Drosophila melanogaster: one gene and its partners. The protein of the gene in region 4 interacts with the protein of the main gene of each other region in a pairwise test. Each region holds a gene or a part of one and is shown on either strand. Other genes may lie near its edges. The genes, in order: Rbp6, CG17290, Nhe2 and FANCI.

Evidence for each region.
Region 1: the proteins of FANCI (region 4) and Rbp6 interact in a two-hybrid assay, tested with the Drosophila melanogaster proteins (one large-scale study listed by BioGRID).
Region 2: the proteins of FANCI (region 4) and CG17290 interact in a two-hybrid assay, tested with the Drosophila melanogaster proteins (one large-scale study listed by BioGRID).
Region 3: the proteins of FANCI (region 4) and Nhe2 interact in a two-hybrid assay, tested with the Drosophila melanogaster proteins (one large-scale study listed by BioGRID).

Annotation. Positions count from the first base shown.
Region 1 is NT_037436.4:17,235,174-17,239,897, forward strand, and holds the start of Rbp6 (RNA-binding protein 6), read right to left. Parts: upstream 3,040-4,724; 5' UTR 2,659-3,039; intron 890-2,658; 5' UTR 265-889; coding exon 179-264; intron 1-178. Other genes in the region: Afg3l2 (AFG3 like matrix AAA peptidase subunit 2), read right to left, coding at 3,938-4,724. UniProt on the Drosophila melanogaster protein: RNA binding protein that regulates the expression of target mRNAs at the translation level. May play a role in the proliferation and maintenance of stem cells in the central nervous system.
Region 2 is NT_033778.4:17,153,022-17,157,625, reverse strand, and holds CG17290 (uncharacterized protein), read right to left. Parts: upstream 3,038-4,604; 5' UTR 2,885-3,037; coding exon 2,882-2,884; intron 2,788-2,881; coding exon 2,491-2,787; 3' UTR 501-2,490; downstream 1-500. Other genes in the region: CG17287 (uncharacterized protein), read left to right, coding at 1-452.
Region 3 is NT_033779.5:21,106,183-21,110,823, reverse strand, and holds the start of Nhe2 (Na[+]/H[+] hydrogen exchanger 2), read right to left. Parts: upstream 3,044-4,641; 5' UTR 2,597-3,043; intron 1-2,596.
Region 4 is NT_033778.4:8,934,075-8,941,582, forward strand, and holds FANCI (fanconi anemia complementation group I), read right to left. Parts: upstream 5,716-7,508; 5' UTR 5,680-5,715; coding exon 5,608-5,679; intron 5,550-5,607; coding exon 5,095-5,549; intron 5,035-5,094; coding exon 4,799-5,034; intron 4,740-4,798; coding exon 4,630-4,739; intron 4,575-4,629; coding exon 4,124-4,574; intron 4,068-4,123; coding exon 3,979-4,067; intron 3,921-3,978; coding exon 3,808-3,920; intron 3,746-3,807; coding exon 3,480-3,745; intron 3,428-3,479; coding exon 3,084-3,427; intron 3,030-3,083; coding exon 2,689-3,029; intron 2,628-2,688; coding exon 2,296-2,627; intron 2,239-2,295; coding exon 1,467-2,238; intron 1,408-1,466; coding exon 543-1,407; 3' UTR 502-542; downstream 1-501. Other genes in the region: CG13748 (uncharacterized protein), read left to right, coding at 6,395-6,736.

The DNA of each region.
Region 1 (4,724 bases), on a different chromosome or scaffold from region 4:
AAATATAAATTTCGCACATCCTTTTAAGGATGGTGATTTTTAGTGCTTGTAGAGCGAAAGTAATATAAATAAATCGAAGTAAATCTTTTTCTTCTCAAGTTGATTAAAATATATTCTCTACTTTCTGAGATACCCTTTCGCTAGGGTATACATGTACATATAAGAGCAGCACACTTACCCGGGATCATTGGGCACCTCCGAGGGGGAACAGGGTCCCAGCTCCACTTGCTGTTGCTGCTGCTGCTGCTCAATCTTGATGTCCATGTTGGGGGTTTTGGCTCGGGATTGAGATTGAGTTGGAGCTGGAGCTGGTGATTGGAGTTTGCAGTTGGGGCTGAGCTGAGCTGATGTGGTCGTCTGGCTGTCTATTCTATAATTGTTGCTCCAACGCCTTCTGTGCGAGCATCGAGATGCGAGGGGAGGTCGAGTGGTTCTGTGCGGCTGAGTGGCTGTGTTACTGGGTGTTATGTGTGGACGGGGGATGCTGCTACTACGAGTTGGCTAACAGAGTGTTCCCTTAATCATTGGCCACGATGGCTGCTAGTTGGCTGTTCGATTGGCTGCCGGATTCCTTGTTTTCCATTTGGCCTGGCTTTGGTTGGCTTTCCCGCTGATTTTCCACGGCTTTTCTCCTGCTCTAGTTATCGTTTTATTTAGCTTGTTAATTATAATTTGGTTACATTGCACACATTGAATCACATTTCTTGGTTGTTTTGGTTGTTTTGGTTGCTTCGTTTTGCAGGCCACTTTTGGTTTGGTTTAAATATTATTGTGTATTTCGTAACTATTATTTCGTTTGTTGTTTAGACTTTAAGTTTTAGAAACGTTGCGTTAACTTTGGTTGTTGGTTTCCCAATTGATTTGAAGGCAACATATTACTGCAAAAGATCTGTTTCGTTGTGTTTGGTGAAAATTAATTAAATTGCAATTTTAAACTTTGCCCAGGGAAACTTTTGAAAATGCAATTTTCCCCTTCACTCGCTCCCCCTCGCCACTCCTCGCTTTCCCACCCATCCGCAGCTGCTGCACCACCCCCACCCACCCCCTAAAATGCAATGATTCGCAACGAACAATCGTAAAATGCAAAAAAGTGCAACCGATGTGGGAGCGATAGAGAGAGAGAGGGAGGAAAACCGTGGAAAAGCCAGGTGAGGAACGGGTGGGAAAAGGGGGGCGGTTAAGTAACGGCTGAGTGACAATTGGGATGCGGTACTAAGACTGTAAAAGATCTTTGTTTGAAATAAATTTGACTCACTTTACACATATGGCATGAGCCATCAAATTAATTTTCTTAGAATAGGCGTCTCATAAAAAATTAAGAAAACTAAATATAAAAGGTTAAAGATCCAAATGTTTTTCAAAAATTATAAGTATACGTGTTTACTTATTGTGAGCTTGTGTAATAATTATAAAATTCCAAATATTTAGTAAAAAGCTCTCTACTAATTTCATAAATTCCCATCGTTGTTAAATAATCTGAACGATTTTTAACATTAAAAAGGTTTTAAGTGACACTTTTTTTTACGCCAGAAACACCTTGGTTTCCCGAACAATTTTTCGGAAATTCAAAAATGCTGGCATCCAAATTTTATAGCTTTGAACTTTTGCTTGTTAAAGCAATTATTTTCCGTTGCTTTCTCTCCGAAATTATTCGCTTTCCTATATTTTGTGTGTGTTCTTTTTTGCATTTTCTGTGCTTAATACGCGCCTTGATTTTTCCCACACCCACAACAGCAGTAAAAGCAACAACAAATAATAGAAAAAGACAGAGATAGATAGATAGGGAGGTGCGAAAGGGCAAGAAGAACATTGCATGCAGTGACTCCCTCAACAAAAATTACAACAACGCCAGCAACAATATAATAACGCGCAGCATGCAAGCTTTCACGAACAGACACGCACACACACAATCGTACATCAGCACACACACACCCGCACAGGGAACATGCACCGTTACAACGAGAGCAGAAGTTAACTGGCGGCAGCAACAAACACGTGACCCGACAATTGCAATTGCGACAATTGGCAGCACAAAATAAAACAAAATAAACGATAAACTAAAACAGAGCTAAGAGAATCGCCGACAGGGGGCGCTCGATTGATCAGTAATCGAAGTTACCGTTACCGATGTCAGCCATTTTATAAAAGTGATCACAACGAAGATCTCTAATAAAAGGAACGAAAATATTAATCAAATTTAAATTTTATGTAATACACGTGTTTGTTGATTGATTTTACACTAATTGATAAGAGATATTTTGCTTCCTATCTTAAAGCAGAATAAATGCAAATGGCAAAACAAATTTAAATATAATTTTCTTGACAAAATAAATAAACATTAGCATTAAATTCTCCTCCTTGTTCTGTTCATCCTAATGGTCACCATTTGTCATAAATACATAATTTTAATTTTCTAAGAAATCAAACAAGAAGCCTAAAGGAAAGTCTCAGGAAAAATAAAATCCAATAAATCAAACATGAAATCGCTAGGGATTCTCTGCCGCTCTCTTTCTATCGATCAAGTATGGATGTTGCCGTTATTTTGCCGGCCGGCAGCCATTTTGCAGGAAAGATCAACACAAACGCAATGTGTTAGTGAGTGTGAGTGAGAGGGAGGGCGGGGGTGCGAGGGAGAGGTTTGCGCTTTAACTCCTCTACTTCAGCGGTTATTGTAGTTGATTGCAATTAAAATCGAATGCCGCGCACTGTTACTCGTTTTCCCTATTTTTTGTATTTTGTATTTTATATTATATAATCGTCAAATTGCACTCCACACAGCCATCGAGGTAAACAAAATGCAAAATGCCCTCCACAGCAGGGGTTTTCCTTTCGGGCCTCTCGGTTATATTGGTTTGGTATCTTGTACGCGATTTGGTAGTTGTTTTGGTTAAAACGCACGCACTCCCACGAGCGGTACGAACAGCTCTGAAATCGGGCGACTCGAGAGTAATATAGAAACTGCAACGGTTAGTGCAACGCTGGCGTTCCGCTTTTCTCAGTGCGCGCACACGAACGCGACAACCAACAAGACGACACTGAGCGGCGAGACCCCAAAACCCAACTGACGGCCCCAAAACGACCGGCGGCAGCGACGTCGACTGCACTGCTGCACTCTCTGCCTTCGCTGCTGTTGCTGCTGTTGTTGTTGCCGCTGGTGCTGCCCCTACGGAGCTTTGCACCGGCAGAGGCGCCGACTGCGGCAGTTGCACTATTTACCGGCTGCACATGGCGCATGTACTTCAGCATCACAGCTGATAAGTGATAAGCCGCAGCGAGGAAGAGTAGCCGGCGAAAGTTTGCGGAGAAAGCTTACCGAAGAGAGCGGCACTCTCTTAAACCGCGTGCAGCTTTAAAAGCTCACACTGAAAAAAATTTTAACCTGGCACTATCAGTCAACTTAAGAATAAAGCTGGCTATCCCAAAGTTAAGAACAAATTTTGCATTCCAATGTTATCATAACATTTTATTGTATGAAATATACATAATGAAGCAATACATTGTATGTATTTTGCAACTTTTGCTGTTTTCGAAAACGGGTTTAAACCGTAAGGCAGTAACAACACTGATTCGATTATTTTTCGCCTTGATAACATCGTTTAATTTCGCTTTTCCACACTGACAGGTCATTTCCATTCTTTATTGCCATTTTGAAACTACGCATACGGGGAATTTAGTACAGGCTAGCACTTAATTGCTCAACACGGGAACAAGTTATCCATGTGGGTATCTTAAAATTATGCAAAAACAATAATGAACGCGTCGTGGAGAACTGTAACTCCAGAAGGTCTAGGAACTCCTTGAGCCCTGCCTTCTCGATCTGCCACATGTCGGGGTTTTCTCCGGTCCGCGTTTAGGGATTACAACAAAAACAAACAGATGTCGGCACCCTCGAACTACCACACCAAAACTCCCCATCCACATGAGCGAAGATCGTTGCCTAACTGCTCTGGGCAGTTACGGGCTTGGTGGGCGGCGATGATGGCGTGCTGCCAGCGTCCAGAGGCTCCGTTCGTTCCTTTTCCTTGTTCCAGCTCTTGAGGCCTTCGGGCAGAGTGGTGTCCTCCTCGAAGGAGCCGGTACCCTCGACGAACTCCTCGTAGGTTGACTTCTCTTTGAAGGGTCGTGGGCCCAGCAGCTCAATCATATCATCACGGCTGAGCACTTCGTTTTGGAGCAGTCTTTCCGCCACTTTTTGAACATTCTCCTTGTGCTTGGTCAGCAGACTAGTGGTGGCCTCGTGGGCACATTTGATAATCGACCTCACCTCGTTGTCGATCAGCTGCGCTGTGTCCTCCGAGTATGGTTTGCTGAAAACGGGATCACCGGCCTGGCCCACATCGAAGCTGACCTGCCCGACCTTCTCGTTCATGCCGAAACGCACCACCTGGGAGTAGGCAATATCGGTGATCTTCTTTAGATCATCCTGAGCACCAGTGGTAATGCGATTAAAGAACAGCTCTTCGGCCACACGTCCGCCGAGCGTCATGCACATGCGATCGAACAACTGCTCCTTGGACAGCAAGTAGTGATCCTTGGGCAGATACTGGGCGTAGCCCAGACCCTTGCCGCGTGGTATAATCGAGACCTTCAGCAGGGGATCTGCGTGCTCCAGGAACCAACCGGCCACCGCATGGCCAGCCTCGTGGTGTGCCACCGTTCGCTTTTCCTCCGGCGCCAGAACATTGGTCTTCTTCTCCATGCCAGCGATAACACGCTCAATGGCC
Region 2 (4,604 bases), 8.2 Mb from region 4:
TCTATGATTTGTACCTGATTTGTGGCTTTGAAGTTACTGCCCTGAAAAATCAGCATTCCTGGAACATTCTTCAGTACTTGGTATGCATACTCTTTAACATATTCACCGTGATTATGTACACTGTCAGCTTGTTAAACGTATCTCGAAATCGCACCACTATGGAGTCGGCTTATGCCACATACTTTCTTCTTGGCGGCAAGAACAATAATGGTTTCAATTTGGGATATTTTGTTAATTTTCGTGACCTTTATGGCGATAAGTGGTACCTCTGGCCCTTTCCGATCTTCTCTAGTCGTGGTGACGGATTTTCATTCCCCTTGGCCCACGATCGACTAAAGGAAGTCCGTACCGGTAACCAGAAAAAAGATAATCAACCCACCAGAACTCAGATGTACAAGGAAAACATGAATCGAATTCTCGGAATTCATCAGCCACCTTTCAATGAAGAATAGGTTCGCTTAAAATAAAAGAGCAATGTTAAATTTTTATTACGATGCACTGTTATTGAAATTTATGTGTCTTAAATTTTCTCATTTTCCATTTCAAATCAAGGAAAGCGAAACAAAAAAATTTCGAGGAGACAGCTCCCGTAGACAATTCGAAAAGGGGGAACTCCATCAACGTCTTAATTTACGAGTCATTGGCAAGTGCATCAGGATCTGACTCCATCCGCTTGGCAATTGCAATCCGCTGGCCTTTTCTTCGACCCGCTGAGTGGCCAACATCGATAAATCCTCGACATTCCGGTTCTCTAGTCCGCTCCTGCCCACAAACGCATTGGAGTCGTTTATAAAGCGCTTAACATTCGTGACATATTTCGCATTTGGCCGGGTGTCGGTCGCAGAAATTTATAGACTTTATCCATTAGGAAAACAATTACGAGTGCAAACAATGGCCATTGACCAATGTGCGATGTCCAGCGGATGGACTCCCCGGCCAGAGGCGATTCCTTGGGCACTGAGCATATGTTGGGATTGTCGCGCCCCCAAGTTCAATGTCCTCGTCTATATTTTCTTATTATGCTGCGGCGACTTCTTGACTGCTGCAACACAAATCCAATTACCTTCAAAATAATAAACTTATGTACATACCAAAAAGGAAAAGAATGCCATCCAGGGTCCTACCATTTCTCCGGCTGACTCTACGCACATTTTGCTTTATCAACTGTTGATAGACTCCGTGGGGAATTTTCCGTATGTCACGACAAAGAAGACGATGGAAATGGAAATGGGAGCTGTCTGCCGTCGGGCGGCATTTTTTCTTCATGCTCCTGTAGTCTGTTCCCGTTCTCGCATGCACTGGGAAAAGCCGGAAAGAAGTTTAATATGATAGGTACGTTTTTTCGTAGCAGAACAATCTTCTCCCACTTCTGTCATTTCATAATGGATTTATCATCAATTAGCATTATTTCCTACTTCTATTGCAATATTTTATTATATTTAACTAGAATTTTTCCCAGTGCCTAGACCATAGCTTGCTGATTTCCACAGCTTGTTTGCTGCTCATTATTCGACGTTGGCTGGTTCGGAGACGTGGCTGTAGTTGGTCGCCAAATGCACGAGCGCAAATAATTTTTGCCACTTGCATGTCATCAGCATAAAGTGAGTGCAAAATATGTGAACTTCGCAGCGGAAATTCGCCTTAGAGCGCAGAGTCAACAGCAATTGGCCCAAATGACTTGTAAGCGCCGTCAGACGGAGGAGACGAGGTATCCTGCCCAGCCACATGTCCTTGTCGCCATCGCCCTTTCTGTCCAGCCAGCCAAGCTAACCAAGCAACCGCTCGCAGCTTATTGAATTCGCATATTTTCCCATTTTGCATTATGGGCAAACATTTTTTCCATTTCGGCATCCTTTGTTTTTGTCCTCTGTTTGATTTTGTAATCGAGGATTTGTTTGCTTTGGCTGAGTCCAAGCCAATCGATTGCCGGGAAGGGGAAGCGCTTTTTGTCCCTGCTCATTGAATGTTTCAGCAATTTTTGGTTAAGTCAAATTGGTCTAGTCGACGGTTTGACCTTTTTACTGCCAGACTTTCGAAATGGGGAGAGAATTCATTGGAATGCCAGTGTTGGCCAGAACATGTGTTTGTCCTTGAGCGGTTTGTTTAGGCCTTTGTGGGTTGGTCGGGGTTAAAGAGGGTTGGATGACGGAAAAACCAGAGGGGGCGATGGTTATCGCCAAGGAAACCCCATTCAAATGGCGACTTTGGCATTGCAAATTGAACTTGGGCACTTGGACGATGGGAACCTGTTGATAAGGCGATTGAATTTAAAAATTGTCCTTCCATACATCGATTAGGAAGTATTTTATGTATAGTTTTAAATTTTGTAGTATATTTTCCTGCGAACTCAACTTTGATAGCAACCAAAGAAGGACAAGACAACGAATAATTTTTCACAGATAGATATTTACTCTCCAAGTGAATTTCTAAAGATGGTATTCAGCAATTGCACTCGAGTCAACAAATTAACAATAACAAATGGCTTTCATCTTAGTTGCGGTGACGGAAGACGTGGCGGCGGACGGTCTTGTAGCGGTAGCCGTCCTGGGCGGGCTGCTCGATCTCCTCGATGATGGGTTCCTCGGCCTGGACAGGAGCAGGTGGGATGTACTCGGGTGCTGGTGGTGCAGGTGGGATGTAGGTCTCGACGGGAGCAGGTGCTGGCGGTGCAGGTGGGATGTAGGTTTCCACGGGAGCAGGAGCTGGCTGCTGGTAGTCGTAGCCAGAAAGCTCCGAGACATCGGCGAATGCGCAGGCCAAGAAGGCGATGGCAATGATCAGGAATTTCTGAATATATAAAAAATATAAAGCAAATGTTAAAAAAACAATCGTTGGAAAGGCAAAGATAAATATTTGTTAGAGCGAAAACCCAGCAACTCACCATGATTTCAAGTGTTTAGACTGCGCTCAACGAAAGATGTGTGCTGTGAATGCGATGATCTCCGATGGCTTTTATATGCCCAAAACTGTTTGGCCAACTCTTGCCGACGGCAACGGAAGCAACACTAGATCCAAATGACTTTGAACTTGATCTGTTGCTGATCTTCAATCGCTCACCAATGACTTGATCGATGAATCCGGCCGCATCGAACCGGTTGTCCGGCAGTTTTGGATGCACAAGCCATAAATCGAATGGAAAAACTTTGATCACGTTTCGTGTATTTGCTTTTGTTTGCCTAATGCATCGCTTGTCCCATTGTCTTTTTAAAAGTGGTCAAGTGATGACTTCGTTTGAGGTCAAATTCGTATCAAAAATCTTGACTTTTGCCTTTTGTTTGACGCTCGAGGCGCAGCCCTTTAATTGATTTGCTTGTTGAACACGGCCTTGTGGCTCGGCCCCCGCATGGAAAATACATGAGTCTCTGGCTCTGCTTGATTAAAACCAAATTTAATTTGCATCTCACTTTAGCTGGTTTATTTGGCTTCGTTGTGATTAAACGGCTGGTGTTTATTGCTGGACCTAACCCCAATTACAAAACTCGAAAAGGAACTGCAGTTGCGAAGTTTAAGTGGACGCAAATGTTCTGTGAAAATCTATCTGAAATTAAACAGTGGGAAAATTCGGGGGGCTTAATTTATTGTAGCTCACTTAAAATTGTACATAGAAAAATTTAAATATAATTTATTTTTGTTCAAACTCGGCAGATATTGATAAAATTAAAAGAATTTTTTGATAAAATACACTTTTAAGGAAAATTCAACTGTTTAAAACAAAATGCTTGAACATAACGATTATCTTATATATGAATGTATTTAATAGCTCACATTGTTACTATTGTTATAAGCTATCAATTGCATCCCTATTGTTCATCTTTTGCTAAACAATTCCACATGATTTTTCCGACTGCCTTGGCATATTTTCATTTTGGTATTCTCATGGCCAGCATTTTCATTTCTTCGTTTCGCTTTCCACTGTTGTCTGCCTTGTAACTTTTGTAGCTCTTGATAATATTGCAAATAATTTTCTTTTTTATGTTGATTATTTTTTGGACACCCTCCGCAGACACCTGAGACTCACCTGGCTCGCCCCCTCCTCCCTTTACAACCTTTTTTATTAACTTCGTTTTCATTTGTGCCGTTGCCTTCACGAGCTCATCATATTTTAATGTGGAAGGGATTCGGCGGCATCGTCTTTTGGCTTTCCTCTCCAGCTCCTCGGGCTGTTCTATGTTTCAAATTATTCTCAAGAGATTTGCAGTTCGTGATTTTACGGCAGCCACGATGGGCAGGGGAATGCGAATAGCAACCCTCCCTCCGTTTCCAAAACGGGGTTGGAAGCCGCTGTGAGTTAAGACATTTCCCGAATGCAATTGCAGCTTGGGCTTTTAATTACCCCGCTTAAGTCCGTATTAACTCTGGCCTAAGCCTTTTTTAATTTGCCCCCACCACGCCGCCAGCTGTCGTAATTGAATTAGGAGCCAGGAGACAATGCAGCGTCGCTGAACCTTTCACGCTGTTATCCTTGATAATTAATTTAGACGCCATTGTCCAGTGCACTCCCCTGTTGGCCGACCGGCTCCCCCGGCAAATCCTTTGCCATTTCACATCACGTGCGACGCCCTACTCGTCCTGCTGCTATTGCTTTTTTTTTCATAAATCGCCAG
Region 3 (4,641 bases), on a different chromosome or scaffold from region 4:
AAATGGCAAGCTATGGAATAAGTACAAACAGATTCCTTAAAAATCCGGGTAATAAAAATATTTCAATTAACTAACAAATAATTATTATATTATCTATCACAGGCCGACTTTGATGTTTATCTTAGAGATACCAAAAAGAAAGCAGTGCAAAATTCCCCTAGATAAACGCACATACGTAAACAAACCACCGTTAATACTACGTCCCATACTTAAGTATAAGTTGTTATTGACCAAAAATACCTGACCAGTAAGTGAAAAAGCCCAGCTTAAGTGACCTTAGTTAGAGTCTATAATGAAAGCCGTTTCCTAGATGAGATCACTGCACTGATAAAATATTTCATGCAGTTGGTCTGCTGGCTCGACTGGACGTAATTAAAAGCTCAAAAGTCGATTTTCTATATTTTTCGTTTAATTCCTAAATGGATTTTGGTAAATATCATACGAACGGACTACTTGAGATATTTCTTAACTGTTTACAGGTCAAACAAAATGAACAATTGTTCAAAAGTGGCCAAGGTCTAATGATTTAATTTAAGTCTCATCATCGAATCTTGTTGTTGTACAAGGACATGTCACATTTTATCAGTATAATCCAAATGAGCTTTGGAACTCATAGTACTTACCGTGGTTAACAATATGCGCTGGTCAGCAGGCCACACAAAACAAAACGTTAATTGAAATGGATTGTTTTCTAAACGAATTACATACATATATGTACATACATATATCTGTTTACCCAGGTATCAATTTGCCTAGGAATTCACGGTTCTTTCCTGATACCCAGGTATCAATTTGCCTAGGAATTCACGGTGTTTTCCTGTTTCTCAGAGTTATTATTATTGCTATCATTTTTACAAGGCTACTGACCAGCACCTTCACAGGTAAGGGCTTATATTTATGAAACACGTTAGATAACGAATTGTATACTGTTTACATTCATTTTCATAGATAATTCGGTGTGAGTTCATATCTTAATTTATTGGCTGATAATTGATAATGAAATCAACTTGATTGACGATTTAATTCTGAAAAAAAATTTTGACAGGCCTTTGTGGCAAAATATGCACAAACATGTATATGTATATGTATGTATCTACATATATATATATGTATCTATATCTTTAGGTATATAATATGTATATATGTACATATTGGAGGAATTTATGTCAGCGCTATATTCAGCCCATGTGAGTTTTTGGTTATATGTGCATGTTTGATTAAACGAAACGTGTTTCTTGACTCATCGAGTAAAGTTCGTCTCTTAGCATCTCTTAGCACAAACAATAATTTTGGAAGTAATCATAAAAAAAGTAATTAAAAGAATTCGGCGTTCCTTAATCGTGATTTGTCTTTTCCCATGTTAATAAAAATGGTAGACTAAAGTAATTCAACTTATTTTGTTTAAAATTTTTCGGTTGGAAAATTATTTAAGGGTCTAATAATTCTATGAATACATAAGCATCCGGCATAATAAGATTTACATAGCTATATAAAGAATTTTTAAATCTGATGAGTCAGTGGAAAGAATCGGGTTTGCGTGAAGCAAGATTCAGGAGCACATATGTACATATGTACATACTCGTATGTACATACATATGTTGCCATGCTGCTCCATGTTATCAGACTGCACTATGGGAAATTTGAACACTTTTTCTGGCCAAAATTAAAAACTCCAGAACGGGGAGAGATGTTAAGATAATTTTTATTCCATTGGGTTACACTACCACACATCTTTTATAGTACCAAAAATTGTGGGCGTGGCACCGCCTTTCATATTTTTGTAGTTTGTAACTCCAGAACGGATTAAGATATTTAATTTATTTTATACAAACCACACAGAATAAAATTCATTTTGCAGAATTAAAAAAAATGCTTTGTTCGTTTCAGACAAACATATTTTCTGAGTGCAACAGCTGTTTTCAACAGCTGATTTCTTTGTTGTGGCGCCCTCTATATTTATTTCTAATATCCAGAACTAAACATTGGTCAATGCATACATGCATAAATTTAATATTATCTTCCTCATCGATCGACTTTCATAAAATAGGTTTTGGCCAAAAAAAGGGGGTAAATTTCCCATAGTCGACTGGCGACAAGAAATATGTAGACACATGTAGGCCGAGCCAGCAACAATTACAAATGTTTTCTATGTAGGCAAAAGACACTTGGGATTTCGGAATGCGAAGCGGGAGCGAATAAGTGGAGCAAGACGAATGGAGAATTGAAAACAAGATCGACTGAGCCGGCAAAAGACCAAAATAAACTCAAGTGCACTCTCTGTAGACGTCAAAAAATAAGTAATAGAGGAAAAACAGTCTTGTGGAAACGTGAAAAATATAGAAGATGGTCTATAAATACACGAGGAATACAGCGCAAACATCTGCATAACCTGCAAATATTTATCTTACGTACAAGTACGTAGTATCTGCATCAGAGAAATGTATCTTTTAGATTTTTTTCTAGTTACTAATATTTAGGAAAATAAAATCCACATCGGGATGTATACTATATTGACCAGCACTTGTTAATATATTTCAAAGGTACAAATTCTTAGATTAAGATTGGTTTTCAGTGTAGATTGAACTTCATTACGCACGTTTTTCTTCTTTCTTCGTATTCCTTTTCGGCAACAAATCAGCCGGCAGCTGTTATTTCTTTTCCACTGGGTTTCTCACGCTCTCCTCCTCCTCCTCTTTCTCACCCACTCTCGGGCCGCTTCCGATTTTGTTTTGATTCACACTGCAGACGTGTGCAATAAATAATGCTTTCTAATTCATGCCTGTCTAACTGCACAAAATAGCATTAATATTTATTGACTGAAGAGGGCGTAGATACATACGTATACGTATGTTTACACATTACGAGTATAAAAACACACAACCTTAAAAGTAAGGAAAAAACACGGCTTGCTTCGGTTCGATTTGCATATTTAAAAAGTTTCCCGAAACGTATCCGAATTGTTCCCAAATAAAGTGTAGTGGAAAATCGAATTTTGCGACCGAGCCGGAAAAATGAAAACAGTTGCGCGCTCAACAGTCGAGAACTGAATGAATGCGAGAATTGGTGGAAAATATATTCGAAAAATATCGGCCTGATAACAGAGGTGCTCCAGCTGTTAGCGTGGGTCTGTAAGCCGGATTAACAGCTGTTAGGCATAGGAAGAGTATATGCAAATAAAAGCAAAAAGTGGTGCCAACTAAAATATCTAGTAACTATCCCTCATCCTTCAAGAGTCCAAAGAAGAATGCATTGCTGTATTTATTATGGTATATTACATATGTTATTATATTAAATGAATATATCCCGGAATGTTGTGATTTGGGACCAATTAAATAAATAGGTAAATTAAATGAACAGAAAAGGGCTTAAAAAGAAAATTTTTTTATATTCGTCATAGAAACTATATTTTTATCTCCCCCTCAACAAGCGAACCCAATAAAACCATAACATATGCACATATATGTGAACATAGTATGCTCTTCTGTCTCAAAGTAAAAACGCCAAACACAAAGCTAGCTGAAATTCAAAAGGACATCGTTGGCAATTTCCTAGCATTGTGGACACTGTTGTGCAGTTAATTGAAATGAATAATTGCTGCTACAAGTGAAGTTGACCGACCACCAAAAGGGCAGGAAAGCCGTCTTCTCTGCAATGGAAATTGATTTTTTTTGGAGGCACAACATGGCTGCGGGCCGGGCCTGTGTGCAAGGATAACAACACGATTGTAATTCCTTGATAATTGCAAAGGGCATGGAGCAACTAAGTGAGAGCAGCACTTTCGATGCAAGCATTTCAATAACGTGGCATTTCAATAATATCGATCCACAGTTGGCCTCTGATGGCGTGGGTGCAGCTCTATTATCTTGGTCTGAAAACACGACTGCGGCGTCCCATTATCCTTGTACTTGAACGACTGCAGCTAAGTGCACGTAATGGAATCCAAAGACTGGGGGTTCATTTGGCGAAACTGCATCGTCTGCTGCCTTGATTGGGTGGTCCTAACGGCGATTTTATGGATCAAAAGAGAGCATTGCTACACTGCAAAAACACTGGCACGATGGCAATTGTACAGAAAAACTTATTTTCAAGTTAAGGAATAAATGGGAAAAGTTAAAATTTGATATTTGCAGAGGGTTTACCCTGTGATTTGTTTACAATCGAACAATTTTCTTTGTATTTCCTATAATTTTTCTAGTGGTTTAGAGAGCTAAAAATCGTTGAATAATTTTTTCCAATATATATATATATATATGTATATATATAGGTTCATTAGACTCAATATTTTGTGCGTGTGTGCGGTTTAAACTTTCAGCCTGAAAAATAGCAATAACAGTAATAACGACCAGCACGCCTTAAAGCTTTTCCGCCACAGCCACCGGCTATTATGTAAGCCTCAGAATTTTCCGAAGGACACGCGGCAGGACGAACCGAAATAGTAAATCAGACAGCCCCTCCATCTCCTTTGCTACCATTTATCAGACAGATTGAAAGCCATTGGAAACAGAATAAAACTATTTTATTACACATAACACATTTGCAATGGCCATGGACGAAGGACAAAGGACACATAACGCGGCGAATAAGTAAGTCGGGCTAGTCGAAGCTATATACCCTTGCAGTGTTGCCGAACAGTAAAATTGT
Region 4 (7,508 bases):
GGAGCGACCTTGGCAAAGGGCTTTGAAGGACTGATTGTTGAAAGGGACAGCCGCAGCATCAAAGATGGCCGCGTCCAGGGAGAAAACTTCGTGGCTCGTGACGATCAAGCAGGAATTTGGGATGATAGTGTGTCGGTGTGGAAGCGTCCGGATGGACGAACTGTCTCGGTGGGCAATGACGGAAGTGTTATTGTTTCTGGACATGGGCACACGCTGCAAGTGAGTACATTGTTTAATTTATCAAGTTTCGCTTATGAATATACTTATATATATTTTTTATTTGCAGTACTAATAAATAATGGGAAGCAGCCTTTTAATTTACAGAGATTAGGTAGCTAAAATTCCAATGATATTAAATGAACAAGATTCACAAAAACATTGAACAATTTTTCTTTTTGAACATGTGGAAATTCTAGAAAACAGCAATACAGCACATAATGAAAATTAAGTAATTGCGATAATCGCAACCATTTTTGAATAAGCAATGGACTGGCATGATTTAAATACATATACTTTTTAATATACTTTTTTTTAACAAAACATCATTTCCTTAATGTACGAGGTATTCCCAGTCTACGACTAGGTTGTGGTTTCTTCTTCTCAGCGGGCACTTCGGGAACGCAAAGATCCACTTTGGCTGGCTCCGCTGTTTGCTTATCCGCTGGACCTTTTGACCTTTTACTGGTACGACTCTCATGGGATGGCTGCTCCTCGGGTTTTTTAATGGCCACACTCCTTTTGGTTTTTGGCTCCACTTTTTTGTTTCGCCTTAATTTTAAAGTCGTTTCAGGCTGCTCTTCCTCGACTTGCTCTTCATCTTCAGCTTCCAGCTGTTCTGCAGCTTTGCGGCCTCTTTTTCGTTTGGGTTGTGGATCCTCTGCTTCACTGCTAGGTGCACGCCTCCTGCGCCTTTCTTCCTTCTTCTCTATGACTAAGCATTCATCTTCCTTCTCCTCCAAGTCCTCTGGATACGTGGTGGACTGTGCGTCATCGTCTTCCTCTACATTCTCATTTTCATCCTCATCCTCATCCCGATCCTCAGCATTACTGTCTTCGGTAGAAATGTTGCGGCCATCCGAGATACTACGCTCTATAGCTGCCCTCAAATCCGTCGACTTGATATCGAAGTCGCGCATGGTTCCCAAGTGGAGGTAGTCCGTAAGTCTATTCTTGCTTTTGGTCTTTTTGGACAGGAGAATAATGTGCTTATTGAAGTCCTCGATAACCATTATAACCTTGGGAATTAGCCGAGTCTCTCTCAGAACTTTAGCACGTTCTGCCTGGACCTTCCGCTTTTTTGTATGCTGCTGCGCTTCCTCATCCAGGGTATTAGCTTCTATGTACGTGATGAGCTCGTAAATATTCGCCGGAAGTTGTTTACCAACTGCACGTAGCAGAAGTTCAAATCTGTTGGAGAATAAAATGCAGATTAGATATCCATTAAATCTACGACTAGATGGACTCACTTGGTGCTTTTAATGTTCTCAATGGACGTATCTGATGTGTAGCTCGATATGTAGTGCTTGGTCAGGCTTTTCAAACAAGTGTAGTGCTGAATCAACAACTTCATAAGACCGTCCATCAAAGAACCTAGAGGAATACAAACGTTTGTGAGCACCAGCAAAGTGCGACTTATGTGGATTATTTGTGTGCAAATGGAACGATCCATGGAATCCAGGTTGCCCCGCCAATATATCTGGTCAATTTCGGGAACCACTTGGCATTTGTAGTTTAGATTGTTGGCTTTCGTCACAAAGTAGTCCACATCGTTCAGCTGCTTTTGGATGGCAGCATACAGATGCTGTAGGCAACTCTCGATGGTCACTGTACTTATGGACTTTAGAGTTAGCTCCACAGATTCTGAGGGAGCGTCTTCATTTTGTACGCCCAGTACGTGACCCAATTGCCGAGCAACACTGTCGAAGAAGGGACCTAAGTGGGTCTTTTGACGCTGAACGAATAGCATTCTGTGCACCAGGCCCATTTCACTGTTGAGAATCTCGTTTTTGCTGCAAAAATTTAGCAGCCAAGTGTACGATTCGGTGGCAGCACGATCCTGGTAGTCAATGTGATCCAAAAGAATTTCAAGCGACTCCAAGAGGTAAACAGGCAATTTGGAAACGAACTCATTTTTACAAATCGAATCATCAGTGCCGTACTCCGTCATAAAGTCGTCTAAAACATCCTGAATTGTGTAAACCACTTCCTTGTTTCTGCTTCCCTTTATAGATGCCAAATCTAAAAGTTTTACCATAGTTTAGATTATCCTCATATACTTAGCATGACTTAACTTACCAAATGACTTGACAAAATCTTCGAACTTCTTTGAGTACGTTTCATGAGCTGTTTTTAGGCATTCAGAAAAACACTGAGTGGCTAGGGCGGCGCTCTGCATGTCGAAATTTTTCCACAGCTCCGGCAAGCGTTGAATGCAGCGCTCGTAAATGACCTTTGTAATGTCCGTCAATTGCTTAAAGGTGCGTTTACTGTAGGCCAACTGCTTATAATCGGGCTCCAGGCGTATAGACTCCACTCTGCTGGCCGTTACGGATAAAACATACCGGACGAGGGGCTCGTTGGAGCGCAAGAGCACTGTTTTTTCTGGAGCAGCAAAGGCTACGACGTCACTAAATGGAAAATTGAAAACAGTTTTAAGAAGTAGAAAGGATTAACGTCAAGGTTACTAACTCAAGAAGTAGATGGAGCAGCTTATCCAATATGGCCAAGTCCCAAATATTATCAGGCTGTGTACACATGGTCTTCACCGGGACGCCGTTCAGTGTCAAATTGCACGTTGATGTGCTATTATTCTTGGCGGTTTGCTTCAACTGTTTATGGGCTTTCTTGGATGCATCCGATAATGCCTTAAGACTCTCCAAAAGCTTACAATGCTGATTAAAAAGAGGCAATATTTGACAAACAGCATTGTTTTGTGGCTTGGATTTGAGCAATAAGTGGCAAATAATTCCTTCAATGATATTCAGTTGCTGCAGAACGAGGGCACATTTTAGATGTGTGGCTGGCGGCGTCTGAAATCAGTTGGCATTAGTTTATTGAAATTTAAAAGTAATAATCTTGCTCACTATCTCTTCCAGGGGTAATCTGTTTGCCACCATACGATCCACACAGAAACTCATGAGCCGATTCATCTCACGAGTGTCGTAGCCCGATGGAGCTCGATCGAAAACAGCCAAGCAGTTGGCCACGAACTGAATCAACTTGCCCAGGTTGTCTTTAAGCTGAATCTCCATGTGTTGATCATCGCTAGAGCTAACCAATTGATCGTAGCGAATGCGGAATACTGTGTCTAGATCGTCACCAGCATCCTCTGCAGAGGGGGTGTCGAAGAAGCTGCGAAAGTGCCAGTCAATGACTTGCAGCACATGTGGCACTAGTTTAGCATTGAGCTCCACTGCTCTCTGAAGATCTATTTGAAATGCATTATTAGAAGTTGTATTATTTGATTTCATTCGACTCACTTTCATACAGGGAGCACCGTATATCGAATTGTTGTTGCAAGCAGTTTCGCAACATTCCAATAATTTCCAACGTGAGCATGTCGAAATTTCTTTGAGGATTACTACGACTTCCCAGTGTGTTCTGGGTCATTATGGAGTAGCCAGAGATACTGTGTTGAGTGCAGAAACTGGTGGCGCTGGAGGTCTGGCGCACAGCATTGCTGTTGTTTAGTTGTTTGAGGATCATGCAGAACCCATAAATCGCCATTCGCCGTTTTTGAATTCCACTAAAATATAAAGTGCAGAATAAAAAGTAAATACAGTACCACGAACAGGTAATTAGACCCACCTCGAGCTCATTGCTTTGCAAAGTACATCAATTAGCGCATCACGGACGCGATTAGAGATCTTTAGCAAAGGTAGAATAAAGTTCATCATGCGCATGGACTGCTCACCAGACAGCTAAAATATTTACAACGGAGTTAGCTTAAAGAACAATTATGCCATTGGACTAACTTGCCCATTGCATGTGCTCCAAAACAGATTGAATTGGTTTCATGCACTCGGAGACCGTATACGTATCAGCCACACTTAGAAGTGTGAGGCATTCTGCAAATATGTATTCTTGTTGCATAGAATTATTAAGAACATTTTGCTTGACCTACCCGAGAACTGATTTTGTTCCTGGTATACTATCATCCACTCTGAAATAAGCTTTATGATGCCTTGTCCAAAAATGAATCGCTTGCGAATGAACTTGGTTAGAAATGTGATGGCCAATGTGTGCATCTTGGGCGATTGCGATTTCAGCAAGTAAAATACGAGATGAACCAGCCCAGGAGTTATCACATCCTTGCCGTCTTTGTTCTGATCAATGAGCACCGTGAGGACCTGCTGCAAATCGACTTGCTTGCGTTGCAATGTATCCCGATACCACACGGAGTAGTCGGCTAACGTTCGCTCTTCCTCGTTGTTTTTGATCACATTGCGCAAAAAAGGTAGCAAAATGGAATGAGATATTCTAGCGGACTCTGGATCGCGATTAATGCTGGTCATCGAGATAATGGCGCTAAGCATAAACGGAGTTAGGATCACATCGGGCATGTGCAGAAAGTTCTGAAACATGGTTAGTTAAGTTACTAAGCGATCGATTGATTTGGGACCTGCTTACTCTCAGCATTATGGCCAAATGTTTTTCAGTAAGTTTGTACATAGTACAGTAGTTCAAGTGATGCAGGATAGTCTCTTCGGCCTCCCTTAGTTCCTTGTCCGAGAACAAGTCTAAAGATCAGATGCTGTCAATTTCTAGGAATATAGTCTTCTATATGGTGCAGGCTCACCAATGCTATCCAAGTTCGTTGAGTTGCTACACATGTCTGAGAAGAGCCGCTTGTAGTAGTTGCGATGGAAATACTTCTCCAGGGCCAGCAACGGAATGATCAACTGGGAAGCAGTGCTGCACATCGAAAAGAGCTGGAAGCACAGCGCTGGGAGTTCCATGGGAGATAGCTCCTGCAGGGCGCCAGAGAATTTGTTGAGTACTGTCACAATTTCGCCACTGCTAAGATTCATGGTCCTAGGGGGATTGTATGAGTTGTGTGGTTAAATTGTGGTTAATTTAAGGGTGGTCACCCACTTGAACATGTCGGCAATTGGCGTGAGGATTGAGGCTGGCCATTGCATGGTGGCAATGCTCCTTACGGTAGTGTCCCTGAACTCCATTCCATCTATGGATATGCCGTTCAGAAGAAACCGCGGTCTGGCCAAAAGCAGCGACAGCGCGTCCGGCAGCAAATCCTTCCAGCCGACGCACTTGGCGTCTCCTTGTCGGATCCCGTCCATGCAGTGCTCCACGATCCAGGCCAGCTGCTCGGACGGAAAGGTGGCCAGGTCCTGCGACAGGCGCGTGATCAGATCGAAAGTCTGTTTGTAGCTCAGTTCCGTGCTGCTCAGTCCGTCCATGAAGCTGCGGACACATTCGAATCGCTTGGCTAGCGCATCCTTGCTCTCCGGATTGAAGCCACGGAGAAGGTAGTTCCAATACGTTATGCCCTCGCTGCGTGTCATTGTGGATTTAAGGGTTTCCTTTAACTATCAAGCAATGTTTATCAATTAAGATTTATATTGCCTTCCGCCTTATGGGTCCAACCTTTTCTATTGGAGTGTTTTGAATGAGCAGTTCCAGCTCATCAAAGCGCGCCTTCTCACCCAGACTCCGCATCCACGTTAGAATTGATTCGCGTGCCATACCCAACTAAATTTATGTAATAATTTACGATTTAAACAAAGACGCGCCAGATTTCACCAACTACCACAAATTAGGAATGGTAAATGCCTGATATGATTACCGATTGCACCACCCACTGATATCGATAGCATGCAATTGGCGGGAATTTTAAAAAAATCCATAAATAGTGATAACAGTAATCTTTTCCATAAAACATTTAATTTTCAATTTCAAAACTAAGAAATAGGCATTCTATATTTCTAATTGAAATATAAAAACTATTTCAATGAAACCCAATGGAAAATAGCTTTAAATTTGTAGTTTAAGAAAAAATTTATTTGTCTACTCCATATAGAAAATCAAACAGGTTGTTTTTCCATAAAATAACAAAAACAAAAAATATGGTTGTATGTTTTACGATGATAATGCTCACAACAGTAAATAAACAAAAGTAGTTATATCTACACTTGGATTTTCAGTACAAAAGCGGACTCTTCGAAAGAGTAACCAAAGAGCGTTGGAGTCGAACGGAAAGCTCTGCTGGCTCTTAGATGGGAGTATTGTCTAGTATTCGCTTCCCTTCGCCCGCTTCGGACTACAAAGTGGCACCATATAAATCCAAAAGCTGGACTGCAGCGCCAACAGTTGCGTGAAGACAATCGCCAAGTGATCAAGTGAATTAAATACGAAGCTAAATCAAGTACACAAAATGCGCGGACAACTGAAAGAGTACGTTGGAGTGGCAGTGGTGCTGATCCTGCTGGCGGGGATCAGATGGAGCGAGGCGTTTCCCATGGACCTCTACGACGACGTGAGCGACTTCTTTGACGCCATCTCGCTGGACGATGTGGCCAATACCGGGCGCAACACCCATCCGGAGCAGTTCTGCCTCATGCCGGCACGCAAGGGCGTCTGCCGCGCCCTGATCCCCCGTTGGCGCTACGATCCGGAGCAGAAGAAGTGCGTGGAGTTCAAGTTCGGCGGCTGTGACGGCAACGAGAACAACTTCGCCAGCTACAAGGACTGCATGTCCACCTGCGAGGGCATGTAGGGCTCTCCGCATCCGCATACGCATTCCGATCCGGATAGCGATCGGTCCTCCGCGACCGATGTGTTGCCAAAGGCGGCTGCTTCCCCTCGAGCTCTGCAATCCAGCGAACCAAAGGCAGCATTCTCCACACCCAAACTCACACACAAACATCACAATCCATGCGACTAACCGTCCCTTCTTCTACCTAATATTTATGTAGTTTCTGTCATTGAATCCATCTACTTTGTACTTTCCTGGGTGTGTCCGTCCAGCACTCACCACCCATCTAGAGCTTAAGTTATTGTGATAAAATACTTGTATGGAATAAAGAGTTTTTTATAACGACCAACTCGATGTGGTGTTCACTGATGTGGGAGAGGTCTACTGATCATCTGAAGCTCACAAATATTTCCTAGAATCTGGAAGATGCTTAAAAAATTAATACCTATAGTATACTATGTATAGTATACTATTTTGGAATCTGGAAGATGCTTAAAAAGTTAATACCTATACTATACTATGCATACTATACTATTTTAGTGCATTTTTTAGTAATCACATAACAAATTTAATAAAAGAACCCTTAAATAGCAACTATTCTTGGTAAAAACAAAACAATGCTATCTTATCCAAATTTCTAGACAATTCTAGCAACTACGAATGTTTGTTTGTTGACTTTCAATCGATTGGAGCCTGCAAAATTCCATTCAGCGATAGACAACTGGTTTATTTTTTTGAATATTTATAAACATTATAAGCATATTGTCTGTTTGGGCCGTTCGAGCCAAGAGTA